Diceros bicornis minor: one gene and its partner. The protein of the gene in region 2 interacts with the protein of the main gene of each other region in a pairwise test. Links are inferred from orthologs where the notes say so. Each region holds a gene or a part of one and is shown on either strand. Other genes may lie near its edges.

Evidence for each region. The genes of interacting proteins can lie anywhere in the genome.
Region 1: the proteins of CLK4 (region 2) and UBL5 interact in a two-hybrid assay, tested with the Homo sapiens proteins (2 studies listed by BioGRID and IntAct). The link is inferred for Diceros bicornis minor from reciprocal best matches to the Homo sapiens genes CLK4 and UBL5.

The regions. Positions count from the first base shown.
Region 1 is NC_080769.1:9,228,315-9,235,415, forward strand, and holds UBL5 (ubiquitin-like protein 5), read right to left. Parts: upstream 2,835-7,101; 5' UTR 2,730-2,834; intron 2,430-2,729; 5' UTR 2,419-2,429; coding exon 2,363-2,418; intron 2,162-2,362; coding exon 2,078-2,161; intron 1,915-2,077; coding exon 1,877-1,914; intron 1,401-1,876; coding exon 1,357-1,400; 3' UTR 1,236-1,356; downstream 1-1,235. UniProt on the Homo sapiens protein: Ubiquitin-like protein that plays a role in cell proliferation and sister chromatid cohesion by associating with spliceosomal proteins. Participates thereby in pre-mRNA splicing by maintaining spliceosome integrity.
Region 2 is NC_080740.1:91,392,551-91,401,064, forward strand, and holds the start of CLK4 (dual specificity protein kinase CLK4), read right to left. Parts: upstream 3,445-8,514; 5' UTR 3,318-3,444; intron 1,793-3,317; exon of another isoform or gene 1,666-1,792; intron 295-1,665; coding exon of another isoform or gene 237-294; coding exon 134-236; intron 1-133. UniProt on the Homo sapiens protein: Dual specificity kinase acting on both serine/threonine and tyrosine-containing substrates.

The DNA.
Region 1 (7,101 bases), on a different chromosome or scaffold from region 2:
GTACTTTTCTGTGCCGATTTGAAATTAACAAGGAATCACCTTGCCAAGGATGGTGTGCAGTTAAAAAATTAAATTATTGGGTTTGTTTTTAAACAGACGCTAAGGGGGAGACTGAGCTCTAAGAGTAGGAAGAGTAAGGGTACCAGACATTAAGAGTAAGCAGACATTTCTGACATGTCAGAAGGAAGTGGAGTCCTAGGGACAGGAGGGAAGCCGGGGGGGTGGGTAGGGAGGTGACTCATGGAGACCGAGGAGAGACCATCCTCAATGGACCTCAGGCCAGCAGCATCCCAGGCAGCCAGCAGGTCCACCTCCCAAGAAGCTTGGTGGCGAAAGGAAGGCAGAAGGCTGGATGGAGCTTGGGGGGCGGGCAGGAGCAGTGGGCTGGACTTGGACTTGTTCATGTACTGAAGAGGGATGGAGCAAGGTTCTAGGTGATGTTCTGGAGAAGGGCTCCAGAATGGAGGGCTCTGGGAAAGGCCAGGGCCAAGGTCAACCCCAGGATCTGGGGACAAGGGAACAGAGATGTTTTTGGTGTCCTGTGTACTCACACCTGGGGGAAGGCTGGAGCTAACAACACTATGTGCCAGGCATCCTGCTGTTTTAACTGCAGTATCTCATCGAGATGCGGGCGCCATCATGGTGCCCCTTTTGAGAGGAGGAAACAGTATCAGAGAGGCTGACTTCCCCAAATCTCACTGCTAAATCAGTCAAAATTCAGCCTATGGCACACTGCCTCGCTCTGTCCACTAGGATTTCATAAGTGCCAGGAACTGGAGATGCTTACCCAGGCTTTCTCTCATCTACACTTCACAACACACCAGTGAAGTACGCACCATCACTTCCAGTTTGGATAAGGAAATGAAGGCTTAGGGAAGTTAAGTAACTAGCCCAGGGTCACTGTTGGTGGCAGAGCTGGGATTCCACCCACAGTCGGTCTGAATCCAGAACTTGTATCCCTAACTAGTACATACTGTCCCTACTCAGAGGCAACTTGGTCCCTACTCAGAGGCAACTTGGTCTTTTAGGATGACAATAATCCCAGGATCTCGTGACCTTCAGAGACCCATGGCAAGCCCCAGCACTCTGGGCTTCCACTCAGGCTCCCAGTCTGCTGGCTGACTCTTCCTCCTTCGTGACCTCTTATGGAGCAGCTGGGTACTGAGAGAGAGTGACGACCAGATACCAACCCTCCCCTCGTTAGACAGCCCTCACTCAAAGATGACAACAAGGAAGGAGCTTCTCAGTTTTTATTAACATGAGTCTTTAAAAACAAGCATCCATACCAGTGTGAGGGGTGAGGGTGGGAGAAAAGAGAAAAGAGGGGAGAGCAGGGCAGGGGGAAGAAATTCTGCTCTATTGGTAATAAAGCTCCAAGTTCATGCCATCATGGATTTCATCTGAAGTAAAGGGGTTAAGGAATCCTCACTGTGGGCTCCATCCCCACCCCTCTCATCTCTCACACCTGGGTCAAGGGGAACTGAGGACTCAGCCCAGGACCAAGGAAGCCGTTTGGGACTGGCTCCTTTTGATTTGGAGAGAATCCAAACTATAAAAAACGTTCCTGTTCCTTCTGCACAACAGACATGCCCAAGTCTCACTCCACCCTGACCTCCTCTTCACACCCGGGCGGAGCTCAGTAATAAATATTTTGACCTTAAAGTGTCTTCTAAGCTGAGTCAAAATACCTCACACGTCTACCGCCCACCTCCCCCAACAAAATAATGACATGGCTCTCATTTTCTAAGTTCTTACCATGTGCCACACACTAAGTTAAACACGTTATGTGCATTATGTCACATAGACTCCGGTATTGAGCAAAAAGAACCAAGTCTGGGTATGCACACTCTTCCTCAAGAAGTCACACAAAGGATACAGTCCCCCAGAGACACGTGATCCTTAAAGATCGTGTACCTACGGGGAAAGAAACCTTTCAGACAGACGCCTCAGGCGGCTCTTCACCCCGGAGGCAGGCTGAGGAAGCCCTGCTGTAAGCAAAGGGCAGCCAGCAGCGCACCCCCAACCAAAACCTTCTGGCCCAGTCCTGTCCGGCCCCCAGCTCTGCCACTGCACTCACCACTTCTTAAGGACGATCTTGTTCCAACGGGTGCCAGTTTGGGCTGCGATCAGCTTCTTAAGGTCCCCGATGGTGTCATCCGTGCTGGGCGCAGAGGAGTTAAGGAAATGGAAGGCGGCGGGAAGTAGAACGCGGAAGAGGACATTCCAGGGCTAAATGCACGCTGCCAGGACCCCATCCACCCCCTCTCCCGGCTTTAACTAAAATCACCCCACAAAACAGGCTGAGTTGCCTGGCTCATGCCAAGCTCCCAGGGACCACTGCCTCTCGGCCGCCAGTGGATACTTGCACTTAACGCGGACCTTCTTCCCCAGACGGTCGTTGCAGACAACCTCGATCATCCTGTCTGCAGCTACACAGGGCGGGGGGTGAGGGGCCCCAGAGTCGGACTTCAGGGGTCTCCCAGGCCCCAAGACCCCCGGTTACTGAGTCTTACGTTCGCCCTCCCAACCCCCAGACCCGAGTCCTCCCGGGCCCCAGGTCCCGTTTCCCAGGATCGCAGACCCCGAGCAGTCGCGCCACCCCCTCCCCGCCCCGCCGCCATTCAGGTCGCCCGCAGGCCCGGCCTCGCCTCTCGCCGGCCCGCAGACCCTTGACGGCCGGGTCCCCTCAGCCTTCCCCGACTCCGAACCTCTCCACCTGGCCCCCTCACCTCCAATCGCCTGGAACCAGCCGACGCCACAACCTCCTCGCTCGAGGGCAGAGCCAGGGCCAGAATCGACGCTGAGAGCCGGAAGCGGAAGTGCGCCGCCGGAAGCTCCCGGCTCTGCTCCTCCCGGTGTCCGTCAACACCGGGCCGGGTCGTTCCCGGCCCCAGGCCGGGCTTTGGGTTCCCGATCCTGGGCTGGAAGACACCTGCCTTCGGTGCAGGGGGCCAATTGGGGGTCCCGGGCTGTGCGGGGCTGGGGAAGGGGCACCGAGGGAGAGTCAGAGGTCAGGGGCCAGCGCCCAGCCGTTTGGAAGCCGTTAATTGAGGCCCTTTCGCTATGGGGAGACACCGACTGTGTGGCGTCTGGTGGGGACGCCAGGGAGGCTCGGGGGACATCCCGGGGGGAGGGGGTGACCTCTCGTTCCTGAGCCTGACGATTCCTCTTATTGTAGCTTCGGGGCCATGGAGAGCCTGGGTCGAGTACTGTAGTCATGGCGTCCGGCCCCCTGCCTTCATTCAGGGCGGGATGCCTCCTATTTCGGCCCCCCCCCCCGGGATTCCTGGGGTGCAGACCACAGTCCACAAGCGAAGGAGCCGCCTGATCCTGGCCTGGAAACCAGCACTTATTAGATAGGACGTTGCACACCAACCTACAACACCGGGAGGCAGCTGGAAAGGGCACAAGTGCAAAACCTCCCAGGGCTCTCTTCCAGGAAGGTCGCTCCCGCCCGGCAGGGGGCGCCTTGTACCAGATCTCAACCTTGCCTTGCAGCCCCAAAGTAGCCCCCCTGGTGTGGTTCCCCAGGGCCGGACAGGGGCCCCCCCTCTCTAAGTTCAACCGAACAGCTGCTAATGGAACTGGTCAACTGTTCCTTGTCAGCAGGCAGGATTGTGCGGTTTGGGGAGCCTAAAGGGATTCACTCCCAAGAGGGGCCACCACTTCTGAATCACCCAATCCACCTTCTCAAACTAGGATGTGAGATTAGGCGGAAGACGTAATAGGGAAAGGGTAGACGCTCTGTGACCCAGTTGGAGCTGCTCTGCCTTAGGGAGCTGGCCCAAGAGACCCTACCACAAATTCTAGGCTCAGGGGCCTTCCTGCCTCAGAACTTTCCGTGGTTCCTCGATCCTCTTCAGAGTCCCTCAGAGTGGGCTTGAGAGGGCAAGGAATCTGAAGGGAAAGCTTATTCACATTGGAGACACAGGCTTTGGATCCAGGCAGATGAGTCGAAACCCCAACCTCACCCCTTCATATTAAGCTGTATGGTCACAAGCAAGACGCTTCCACTCTCTGATTCTCATTTTTCTCATCTATGGAAAGCGGGTAACAATTCCCACCCTAGGATTGTAGTAAGGATTGATTTGGGACCAGCCTCTGACAATCCTCTAATAGTTTGCAGAAGACATATGGGGCAAGAGGGGAGGTCAGAAGGTCAAGGGTGAGCTGAGGGGATTGATGTGCCTGAGGAAGTTTGGAAGGAGCACATCTTTGCATTCACATAGAAATACTGGGTCGGTATTTCTGGGTCAGGGCCGGCCCTGTGACTTAGCGGTTCAGTGCGTGCGCTCTGCTACTGGTGGCCTGTGTTCGGATCCCGGGCTCGCACCGACGCACCGCTTCTCCGGCCGTGCTGAGGCTGCGTCCCACATACAGCAACTAGAAGGATGTGCAGCTATGACATACAACTATCTACCGGGGCTTTGGGGAAAAAAAAATAAATAAAAATTATAAAAAAGAAATACTGGGTCACCCAAGGTGTTGATGGTGGTTGCCACTAGATGGTGGAATTGCTGAGGCTCATTTTCCTCTTTGCTGCTTTTTGGTGTTTTCCCAGATTATCTGCGATGAACATATGTTACTTTGGTAATTGGGAAAAAAGTAAATGTTAGTCTTTTTTTTTTTAAAAAAAGAAGTTCTAATTTCTCGATGTTTGATTCAAAGATAGCTCAAGCACGGGATCGTGATGCTGAGTTACAGGCTGGGGCTGATTGGAAGGGGATGGGGAGTGCTGCTGAAGGGGGAGGAAAATAAAGTCTGGGATTGTTGGGGGCTTGGGCTCCATGGGGAGTGGGGGGATCTACTGGGGGGCCTGCCAGCCCCAGCTGGGCTAAGCCATCCTGAGGAGGGAGTAGGGAGTGGGCAGTGAGAAGTCCCAGGACTAGACAGCACTGACTCCCTCTCCTGGACCCAGGTGGGAGGGGGAGGAGCCTCAGGAGACAAGAGACCTTGTCCCCCACCCCCTACACACACCCTGGTACTTATAATTCTGGGCTTCGCATGAAGGGACTCAGTGACTGCCCTTTGAGGGGCTAGGGCAGCCCCATCACTCTGTCTGGGCGGCAAACGGATCTGCTGTCAGAGCTGCTCCTTCTAGGAGGAGGAAGGTGCTTCTCAGAAGGGAAAAGTGCTGGGTCACGACCCAAGTTGCCAGCTGGCAGGCCCCCTTTGCCCTCTTGTTTCCTGGGATTCTGACCCAGAGGATCAGAATGCGGGGATCTCTTCTCTCCACTGCTGTGTGCTGATGGGGCAGGAGATGGTTCTAAGGAACCGGTGTAACTGAGCCGGGGGCAGGGACACCTGGGTTCTGCCAAACTTAAAGGCAGCCATCCCACCCAGGGTTCACCAGAGGAGAAATAATCCTAGGGGTGGAGCGAGTTGCTCAGGAAGTCCTTTCTCCCAATCTCTTAGCAGGGCAGCAGGCCTTGGAGATATGGCAGTGAGCAAGGCTGACCTGCCACCCCAGAATTCAGTCTGATAGAGGAGGAAGACAAGGAAAGAAGGAAACAAGTGAATAGGTCCTTGCAATACAGCGTGTCAGGTGCTGTGAGGAGGAAGCCCAAGACGCTGGGAGCAGAGAAGACATTGCCCCTGCATGATGGTGGGGGCTTTCCAGAGGGAATCATGACCATGCAGCACTGTGGTAGAGGCCCAGGATCTGGCACCAGAGAGATCCATGCTGGGGCCGGCCTGGTGGCATAGTGGTTAAGTTCATGTGCGCCACTTTGGCGTCCCGGGGTTCAGCCCGGGATCCCAGGTGTGGACCGACACACCACTCATCAAGCCATGCTGTGGCGGCGTCCCACATACAAAATAGAGGAAGATGGGCATAGATGTTAACTCAGGACCAATCTCCCTCACCAACAAAACAAAACAAAACAAAACAAAACAAAACAAAACAAAACAAAACAAAACAAAACTAGAAGGACCCCCTAGCCAAGCGCTGTTCCTTCAGGAACACTGCTTCTCAGCCCATTGTTCATTCGTCTTGTTCTGAGCTGGCTGCACGTGGTGTAAACCAATAAAGACTATTTAAAAAAAAAAAAGAAAGAAAGAAAGATCTGAGCTTGTGGCCCTGGCAAGTGGCTTGATCTCTGTGCGATTCTTTTGGTCTTTCCTTCCACAGGCACAAGACGGCTGCCAAAGCATGAAGCACTTTTTCTGTGCTCTTGTTTGAGGAGGAATATCAAAGGGGTTTGATTTATTTTGTTGTTTGTTTTTTTTTTTTTTTTTTTTTTTTTGGTAAGATTAGCCCTGAGCTAGCATCTGTTGCCAGTCTTCCTCTGTTTTGTAAGTGGGATGCTGCCACAGCATGGCTTGATGAGTGGCATGTAGGATCCAAACCCGCGAACCCCAGTCCTATGAAGCAGAGCATGAAGTCAACCACTATGCCACTGGGCTGGCCCCACTTTTTTTTTTTTAAGGTACTACTTCCACACGGCAAAAATGCAAGCAGCACAAAAGTGTATATACAGCAACATAAAGTCTCCTTACTCTCCAGACCCAGCCTCTCCCCAGGGGCAACCACCATTAAAAGTCTCCATTTCTGAGTCTCTGCATCTTCAAACATGTGTGATATGGAGTCTCCCAAGAAGATAACAAAATTTTTCAGATGTTAATAACATGTTCCAATGGAGATAGGGACTTTATATTTTCAAGTACATGCAATGGGTTAAGTTATGTCAAAGAGCAGAAACAAACAACTTAGTTTTTATATAGGCCTTTATGTATAAAGCAAAACACATTATAAATTGTGTATGCATTTTATTGGAGAGAGAGAGAGAGATATATATATCCAGTGGGATCAAACTATATGCACTTGTTACTGCCCAAGGGGGCGTCTTCTGCCTGCTGCAAGACATGCCAATAGTCAAGAGGCAAGGTGGTAGGAGAGAAAGGACTTTTTATTACAGCTTGCTAGCAAGAGGGAAGACGGCCAACTCATGACCTAAAAAAGCCATCTTACAGCACAAAGATTACAGGCCAGTTATATAGGGGGCTGGTCTCCTGGTGGGGGAGGCATCTGGTCTCTGGGTGGGGGCATCCATCTGATCTCTGGGTGGGAGCAGATATCTGTTCCTGATAGTCTGTTTAGTT
Region 2 (8,514 bases):
GCACTCATTAACTATGTCCTCAATATTTGTTGACTGAATTATAAAACAATTTGACAGATGAAAGCTATATAAGCTAACAACAAATCATTAAAACTATTAGTGTTAAAATGCTACTAGTTCAAGAGTAATTTACCAATCAGAGTCTTTAAACTGGTGATGTGGTTTACAATGTCTGTTCTCTTGCGTACTACTATGGGATCTCCTCTTCCGTTTGTGACTTCCACTGTAGCTTTCATGTCCCCAGCTTTCTCTACTATCCCAATCAGGGCAGTGAGTTCTTTTGGAATGCCGCATCTGTTAATGGAAATGCAAAGTGAGTTGTGGAGGTTACAGATGGTCATGTTTAGTAAATAAGACATTATACATTAATGCTATTGAAATATTAACACCCAGCACAAAAAGTCATACAGGTTCTAAAATCTTTGTAGGTAATGTTTCTCAAGGCATGGGGCACTAGTCCATCGGTACGTCACATGATTATAAGTGGCATACAGATCTAGTACTAAATGATGACAACACTGTGAGACCTTAATACAGTTTCTTTTAATTCTTCTGGAAAAATTCTCAGCTTGCTGCTTGTCTTCAACTAACACTTGCTAACTGCCATTTTAAAAATAAAGAGAGACAGGGTTTAGGCTTAGAGCCTTCAGCAGACAACAATATCTAGCTGGAAATTAATAACTTTTTTGATTTTATTTTATCATTACCTCCTTTTTATGGTAAATTATTACTGATCTCTTAATTAAGTTATTGATATGATTTCTTTTCAAAAATGTTAACTTTAAGATGTGAGCTAATTTAAAGAGAAATAATATCACAAGTGTCATGCAGCTTTGGCAAAATACTGTAATACAAATAACTGAAGTCAGGGAAACACTTAAGGATACTAAATATAGGCGGTGACTTTGTTTTAAAAGTAAAGAGCTTCTTTTTTTCAAATACTCGAGAATTTCTTTCTCAATCTCAAAATGACTCCAAGCTTTGAAAGGAAAAAAAAACCAAAACAATAGCACAGTATTCAACAGAGAAACTGGAAAGGCAATAAAGATTATTTTATGAACTCATTTTCTCTATCCTACAGTTATTCTTAAAATTAAAACATATTTGTTGTAGATCTGGGATGACTCTGAAGAAGAATTCAACCTACAAGGATGCACATAGTCACAATCAAATCAGATGATAATGGTGACAATTCCTGGACTCCATCTACAACCTCTTATACATAGTACCCTTCCAGGCTCCCTATCTGTGTTCAAACAATGTAATCCCTATCTGCCTCTCCCCATCTTAATACTTTGCAAAGCACTTAAGTTTGTAACAATGATGTCCAAACTCTGCTAAAACAGAGTGAGTTCACAACTCAGCAAGGAGCTGAAAAAAGGTAAAATGGAGCAAAACCAGCTTAGTTAACCTCTTTCAGCTTGCCCAAATGACTTATTCAACAAGCAAACTCATGTAAACAGTTACACAATTTCACATGGATTAAAAAAAGACTTTGAAATGAGGCAGCTTCAATTCTCCTGGGAGGTATTCCCTAAGAAAATTATGTATCATGCCTTTAGTGCCTGATACCACCAAATATTCAAACCTTTTGACTGACTTCTCTTGCTGATTCTAATTCTATGCCCATCAAGCACCCTTCTGATAATGTAGCTTCTCTTTTACCTTGCTTAAATAAACGAGAAGAAGGCATTGGTCACTTCAAACAAAAATCCCAAAACTCCTGTTAAACTTTTCACTGGAAATTAACTGAGAATTTTGGTTTGATGTAGAGTCACTTCAATATGGGAAACTGAAATGAATGACACTTCAAATTAACTTGACGCAAAAAGCCATCAGAAGAGCCACCAAAAGAATTTTTTATTTATAGTAGAATTCTTCTGATCCTTCCTTCAATTACCAAAATTGAAAAAAAAAAAAAAAACACCCACATTAGGAACTCTTTAAAACAGCACAGTTAAGCATCTGCAAGCAAAATTACAACATCTGATAACAGCGTTATTATTATGACCATCCATTATTACGCAGTTCTTGCAAAACATGTGTTTGCTTTAGTTTTTTTCTCCTTCTGTCAGTCTGCCACAGCCAGCTCACCTCTAACAAGGCAGAATTCTTAAAGTTATCAATATGTAAATATTAAAATAAGAATAAGCATCTTGGCAGAGCCAAAGATTTTTATTTCTCTAGTCAAATTCGCTACTTTAAATTTAATTCAGCTGTTGGGAAGACCCCCCCCCCCGAAATGTTTAGAAATATTTTCTCAGGAGGCAAAGAGAATCCCCAACTCATGTTCTACGGATAAGGTTCCTTCACATACCTTACCTCTAATTAATAAAGAATCCAACGCGCTAGAATCACTCGATTCTAAACAAAAACATCAGGCACAATGGATCCGAAATGTATACATATCCGTATTAGAAATCTGATCCTCTACTGCCCTTTAATACCTGACAATTTCACGCTCTGTATATGGCTTAAAAAAATCGAAACAGGTTAAAGTTATGATTAGATCGCTCCAGGAGGAATGCATTTAATGGGTAACAAGAAGCCTGTAGGGGGTGTGTATGGAGCGAAATCATACAAGGACAGCTTTAACACCAGGTGGCTGGCACGGTCAGTTGGGAGGGCTGTTTCCCAAGGATCGAAGCAGCACATCGCGTCTACTTAATCAACGATAATACGATGCAAAAGCATCAGAAAAACAGACCTGCTGCAACAATGGTATGCTCCAACTTGAAAAAAGCTGTGTCGCACAAAGGACGAACCTCCCCACATTTCCACGTCTCACAAGCACGAGCTAAATTCCCGCACCTGCACTTGCGGACTTGCCGTTCCTTGGACGCCCAGTCCCACCCCGCCTCTCCGCCCCGGGGCACCTGGCGAGGGCCTCTGGCACACCCCCAGGGAGGGAGAAACTGTCTGACTCGGGAACAGCCCCTAAAGGCGACAAACGGCGGAGACCAAGCAACCAAGAGAGAACTTAACCTCCGACAACACACCCCTGGGGGCGGCTCTCGAGGGTCTCCGGACAGGTCCTCGCTCTCGCTGGCGGAACAAGCCCAGACCTCCAGAGCCGCGACGCGAGCGGCCAGGGCCCTCAGAAAAAGACCAGCGGCAGAACCGCGGCCCTCTGCCCCAGAACGCTAAATCTACCACGACACCTGGGCAACTTTAGCTTTTAAAGGCCAGCAGCGGACCGGCGCCCCGAAGGAACCCCAGTGGCCGAGGCCCGGAGCCCGGTCGTTTCTCCCACTCCTGGCTTCGAGACAAGACACTGGGAAACCTGCCAGCCCAGCACACCCCACACGAAACCTTACCTCCACAAAGGCAAAAGGCCCTTTGACCGAGAAACGTCGCCAAACCGCCGTCTTCTCTCTCCAGCCGCTGCGACAAACACTCGACAAAATGGCGGCAATGCTCTGACTTCAACCCCGGAGGCGGCCTCTAGCGTCACCTACGCTGCGCGGACGCGACTGCGTGACAGAGCCTCGCGCGCTCCCGCCGCTCCCCGTAAGGGGCGGGGCTCCGTGTGTCTTCCGGGGTGGGCCTGGCCCTCCACACTGCGGCTGCGCGGTCCGGGACGTTCTCGCCCAGAGGCCTGGTGGGGCACGGGCGACCTCTCAGGTTGTTTTCGTTCAGGGACAATGTGGGTGAAGCTGGGAGGGAAAGCCTGCGGCCTGCTCTAGTCCTGTGGCACCTGTCTGCTGTTTCAGGTGGAGTTACCTTGAGGGCGGCATCCCTCGGCAGAGCAGCCGAGGCCTCGTTTCCTGCTCTCCGGCTCAAGCGGGTCACACCACCGCGCTTTGACTGCCAACCCTCAACTGCAGACAGAGCCGACACGCAGGAGATGAGCCCCCACACCGTGAACCCGATACGTGTAGTCCAGCCCGCTTGGGGCTTCCAGTATAAAATGGAGTCGCATAAAGAGGATGTCTCGGAAAACATGTTCGAGGGTGCTTATCTTTTGAGTGCCTGTGCTCCTAATCAGAAGGACGCAACAGAAAACGAGGAAGTTTCAATTGACACTATTTACAAGGTTCTTTCTGTTATAATCCCTGCCTCCCGAGCAGATATGGTAGCTGGAAGTTTCCATAACGAAGTTCTCCCTGTTATTTGTCCCTGTGGGTCGGTTTTATTTAATCAAGACAAAGTAACGTCTGAGAGCTGGTGAGCATCCACTAAGGGGCTTGCTTAGCTCAAATAAAGTATTTTGCAGTTCTAAGACTCCCTAGACAGTTCCCCAATTGTGAGTGTGTAGAGGAGAGAGAAAAGGGTCCAAGTCTGCGCCTTTGGGAACACTTTTAGGGCACAGAGGAAAAGAGCCTGAGAAGGAATGATCAGAAGTAGAGGAGAACCAAGAGTACGGTACAGAGAGAGCAAGGGAGAGAGGGGCTTAAATGAGGGAAAAGTTGACAGTGCCGGATGCTGGGAAGGGGTTGGGTCTGGTTAGCACTGAGAAGTGCCAAGGGGTCTCTGTATTCTGACCAGGATTCCCTGGATAAAAAGGAAAGCCAGAAATCAAATTTGGGAGGGCAGGGTTGGACTGTTGTGGCATAAACCCAATAGCATGTGGGAGACCTGAGCTCTTATACCTTGTTAAGTGAAAGGAGGGCAATGCAATTTAGTGATCTAACATCATAGAAACTTGTGCTGTGTACTTTGGATAAATGGAATTCTCGAGATTGTGCTACACTTCAAAATGTGATTTCTCATGGAGATTGTACCCCACTTCAAGAAGTGAAGTGCAGTTGCAAAGACAATTGGAAATGAAAATTTTTTATGCTGCAGAATGAGACAAACAATACTATTCTCCTCATCTGGAATAGCCACCATTTCTGCATCTACAAATTTAAATCTCACCCATCCTTCAAGGTCCATCTCTAAGATGCTGTCCCTGACTACATCGGTTCCCGCCCGTCTCCTTCTCTTGACTACTCCAGTTAAAGATAAGGTCCTCAAACAGTTGGCCAAGGCACACTGGTGTCTCTGGAGCCACCCAGGTAAGCCAACCAATTTTGCCCAAAGAGTGATATTTATTGGTTCTACAACTGATTACACATGCCGTTTCAGGGACATCTATCAGATGGAATGTTGAGCTGAGTGGACTGTGCCATCTTGCAAGGTAAAATGAGGCTCAGCTTGCTGCACATAGAGGCATAAATTCAAGCTGGCACCAAAGATAGTTCCCCTTTTGGCTGGAGTATGAGAGATCTTAGTCTTGTGAGGATGTAAGAGAATATGGTCAGGACAGTGCACAGTTCTCAAACAGCAACATAAGTTAAAAGGCAGCCAAGTGGAACGGCCACCTACAGAGGCATTTATATATGTCACAAAACAGTGTTACCCAATAGTGGACTCTGCTTTGTAGTTACTGCTATCTTGTTTTAGTGTCATTTGGAGTATTTTAATTTGTGTGCCACCAAAAGGACTAACATTTCAAAGTGTGTAGTGATCCAAGTGAGGTTGAGAATATCCTATCCCTAGTGTGTCTATGACGTGTGATGCAGCACTGTGGTGCTCCTAACTGCTCTGTGTGGCTTCTGTGTTTTGACTGGAGACAGGGACCTGATTTATATTCTTTGGTATCTCAGTGCCCATTACGTTGTTTACGTAAATTGCTTTTGGCCATTTGCTAAAGTTCCAAAGTGGTTAAATCAAAAGTAGAATGAGTCCTTGCGCGAGTTAGCTTAACAATCTTACATGGCAGCCTCAACTATTTCTATTAAGTCAGTTACCTGGAAAATGAACACCATTGGTCAGAAGACTTAATGAAAAGGTCTAAATTTCTGAGAATCCACTACCAACACTGGAAAAACTGCCTAATCCAGTAGCTTCATCTCTACACAAGAATAAATATGTCCAAGAAAACCTTAAGTTAAACCATGTTTAAAGAATCTTAGCTTTGAAGAACAACCAGAGGAATATTCTTATCATATATTCTAGCACAGATATTCTACATGCTTGACTTCAGACATAGAATATAGTCATCTATGAAAGCAGAGATCCAGAGTAAAAGTCTAAATTGTGTAAATTAAGTTTAATAAAAGCTTATCATCTATATAAATCTTCACAAAGATGTAAACAAACCTTTAGAGAGTTATAGCCTCTGTTATAAGTTGCTTATAATTACCGATCTGTATTCAATTAGTTTTTTTTATTTTTATCCATCAATTAAATACTCACTATGTTCTAACTACTTTATATTCATAATCTCATTTAATAATCTAAACAACCCTATAAAGCGATCATTGGTTACTTGCTCTAGGTCACAGTTATCAAGTACCAGAACCAAGTTTCAGTCTCAGGCCTTACTTGCTCCAAACCTCTTTTGTTTAACTCATTCTACTGACTGCTTCAACTCCTACAACAAAGTACTTAGAAACTTACTTTACTTAGTCATTAGGGAAAAACATACTGAGTCCATCTTTCAGCAAGACCAAAGGAGTTTGCCTTAAAAAAGCCAATTTCCAAGGTAATATATCATCGAAGGCTCATAATGAAACAATGGGTCAATTTATCTCCAGCACATCAAGATCATCAGAGGTCCCAGTGTGCCTTATTCACTGTCAACAGCAAGTCACAAAGGGTCTCCCATGCGTCCCATGCTGCCTGCCACCTTAGGTGGATAACATCTGGGGTTTCTCCAGCGTTTCCTGACACTGGTTGTAAGGAGATTAGATTCACAGAGCACACTATTAAGCAGGATTCAGTCCCACCAAACAGGGCTAGAAGAATTCCCTGATACACAATGCACTTTGCAGTGTGTAGGTGAGGTGGGGAGAGAAGGGTTTGGGGAGTGAGTTAATTTAGAAGTTCTATAGGGAATAGGATAGGCTGGTTATCCCAATCTCCGTGTCATTTCTGCTACTTTCAAATAAAGGGCTTTGGAGCCAGGTTAGCAAATTAGAGTTTCTTAACGCCCACTGCCATAGTCTGAACAATCAACCATCCAATGAAACCATTGAAGGAAAATATATTTACCTAAATCCTAAATTTCTTATGAACATTATGGTACTCTACATAAAAGTATGAAAATATGTAATATATATTTGTCTTCGAATCATCTGGTGTTGCCCTTTCTTTTAATGTACAAATATCAAGTTTCTATTTCATGCAATTATAGGAAGTACAGTATCCTTTAGAGTATTCTAATGACTTTTGGAGAGGGTGTTAACTTTTCTCCTAGCTTCCTGTCACCTCTTATTCCAAATTCCCATTCCTGGTTCTATCCCTCAGCTCCCTTACACTGTCTCATCTTCAGTTGCTATCTTTATGTCATAACCATTTTGTACCAACTGTTGACACAGACCTCTTCCCCTTTGTTCTCCAAAGCCTACTAACACATAGCTTTTATGAGGAATAGGCTTAAAATTTTGAGGATACTGGAGGGTGGGTATAACACAGAAACAAAAACAAACTTTAGTATCAGAATCCACAGTTCTTAAGGTATCCAATCATTTCCCGTTATAGATAATTTCTTACTGGCATTTCTTTCCTCAGGACTCAGTCAGCCAAGTTGGGATCATCCTCAAATTTCCTCTCAAGAGCTTTCTCCCTTCTTCTATTCATCCTTTCTTTCTTCATTCATTCATATTGGGCTCCTCCTTATGCCAAACGCTATCCTAGGTGCTGGGGGTACAAAAGTATACAAGGCAGACAAAATACCTGGCTCCATGGAGCTTAGGTTCCAGTGGGAGAGAGAGAAAAAAATGGAAATAAGCAAAATACTTTAACTTTTTATATGTGCTATGAAGGAAACAAACTAGGGACTGAAAGAATAACTGAGGAGGGCCTGCTTTAGCTGGGATGGTAACAGAAAGGTTCTGGGCAGAGGTGACATTCTAGTTGAGGCTAAAGGAAAAGGAGAAGCTGGCCGTGTGAAGAATGGGATGATACCCCACTGGAATTCTTTAACCCCATAAGGAGACATGTGTGAGGATGCTTTGACATTTGGACATGACAGGAAGAAAAAATTGGCAACAATGTAGATGTCCATCACTGGGGCAATGGATAAGTAAGATGGCTATATACTGCACATCAGTTAAAAGCAATGAACTAAACTTACATGTAGCAATATAAATAGACCTAAAAATTTAATGGTGAGTAAAAAAGAAAATGTAATTTATAACACATATCATTTATGCAAAATTTTAAAAACCACAACTACACTACATATTTTCAACGATACACATATATTTAAATAAGTGACAGGGCTGGCCCTGTGGCCTAGTGGCTAAGTTCAGTGTGCTCTGCTTTGGCTGCCCAGCTTCGGTTCCTGGGTGTGGACCTACACCACTCATCAGCAGCCATGCTGTGACGGTGACCCACATACAAAATAGAGGAAGATTGGCACCGATGTTAGTTCAGGGCAAATCTTCCTCAAGCAAAAAGAGGAAGATTGGCAACAGATAGCTCAGGGCGAATCTTCCTCAGCAAAAAAAATAAAAATAAAATAAAAAAATAAGCGACATGAGGATAGATTTTAAGGACAGTATATTAAATACACTAGAGATG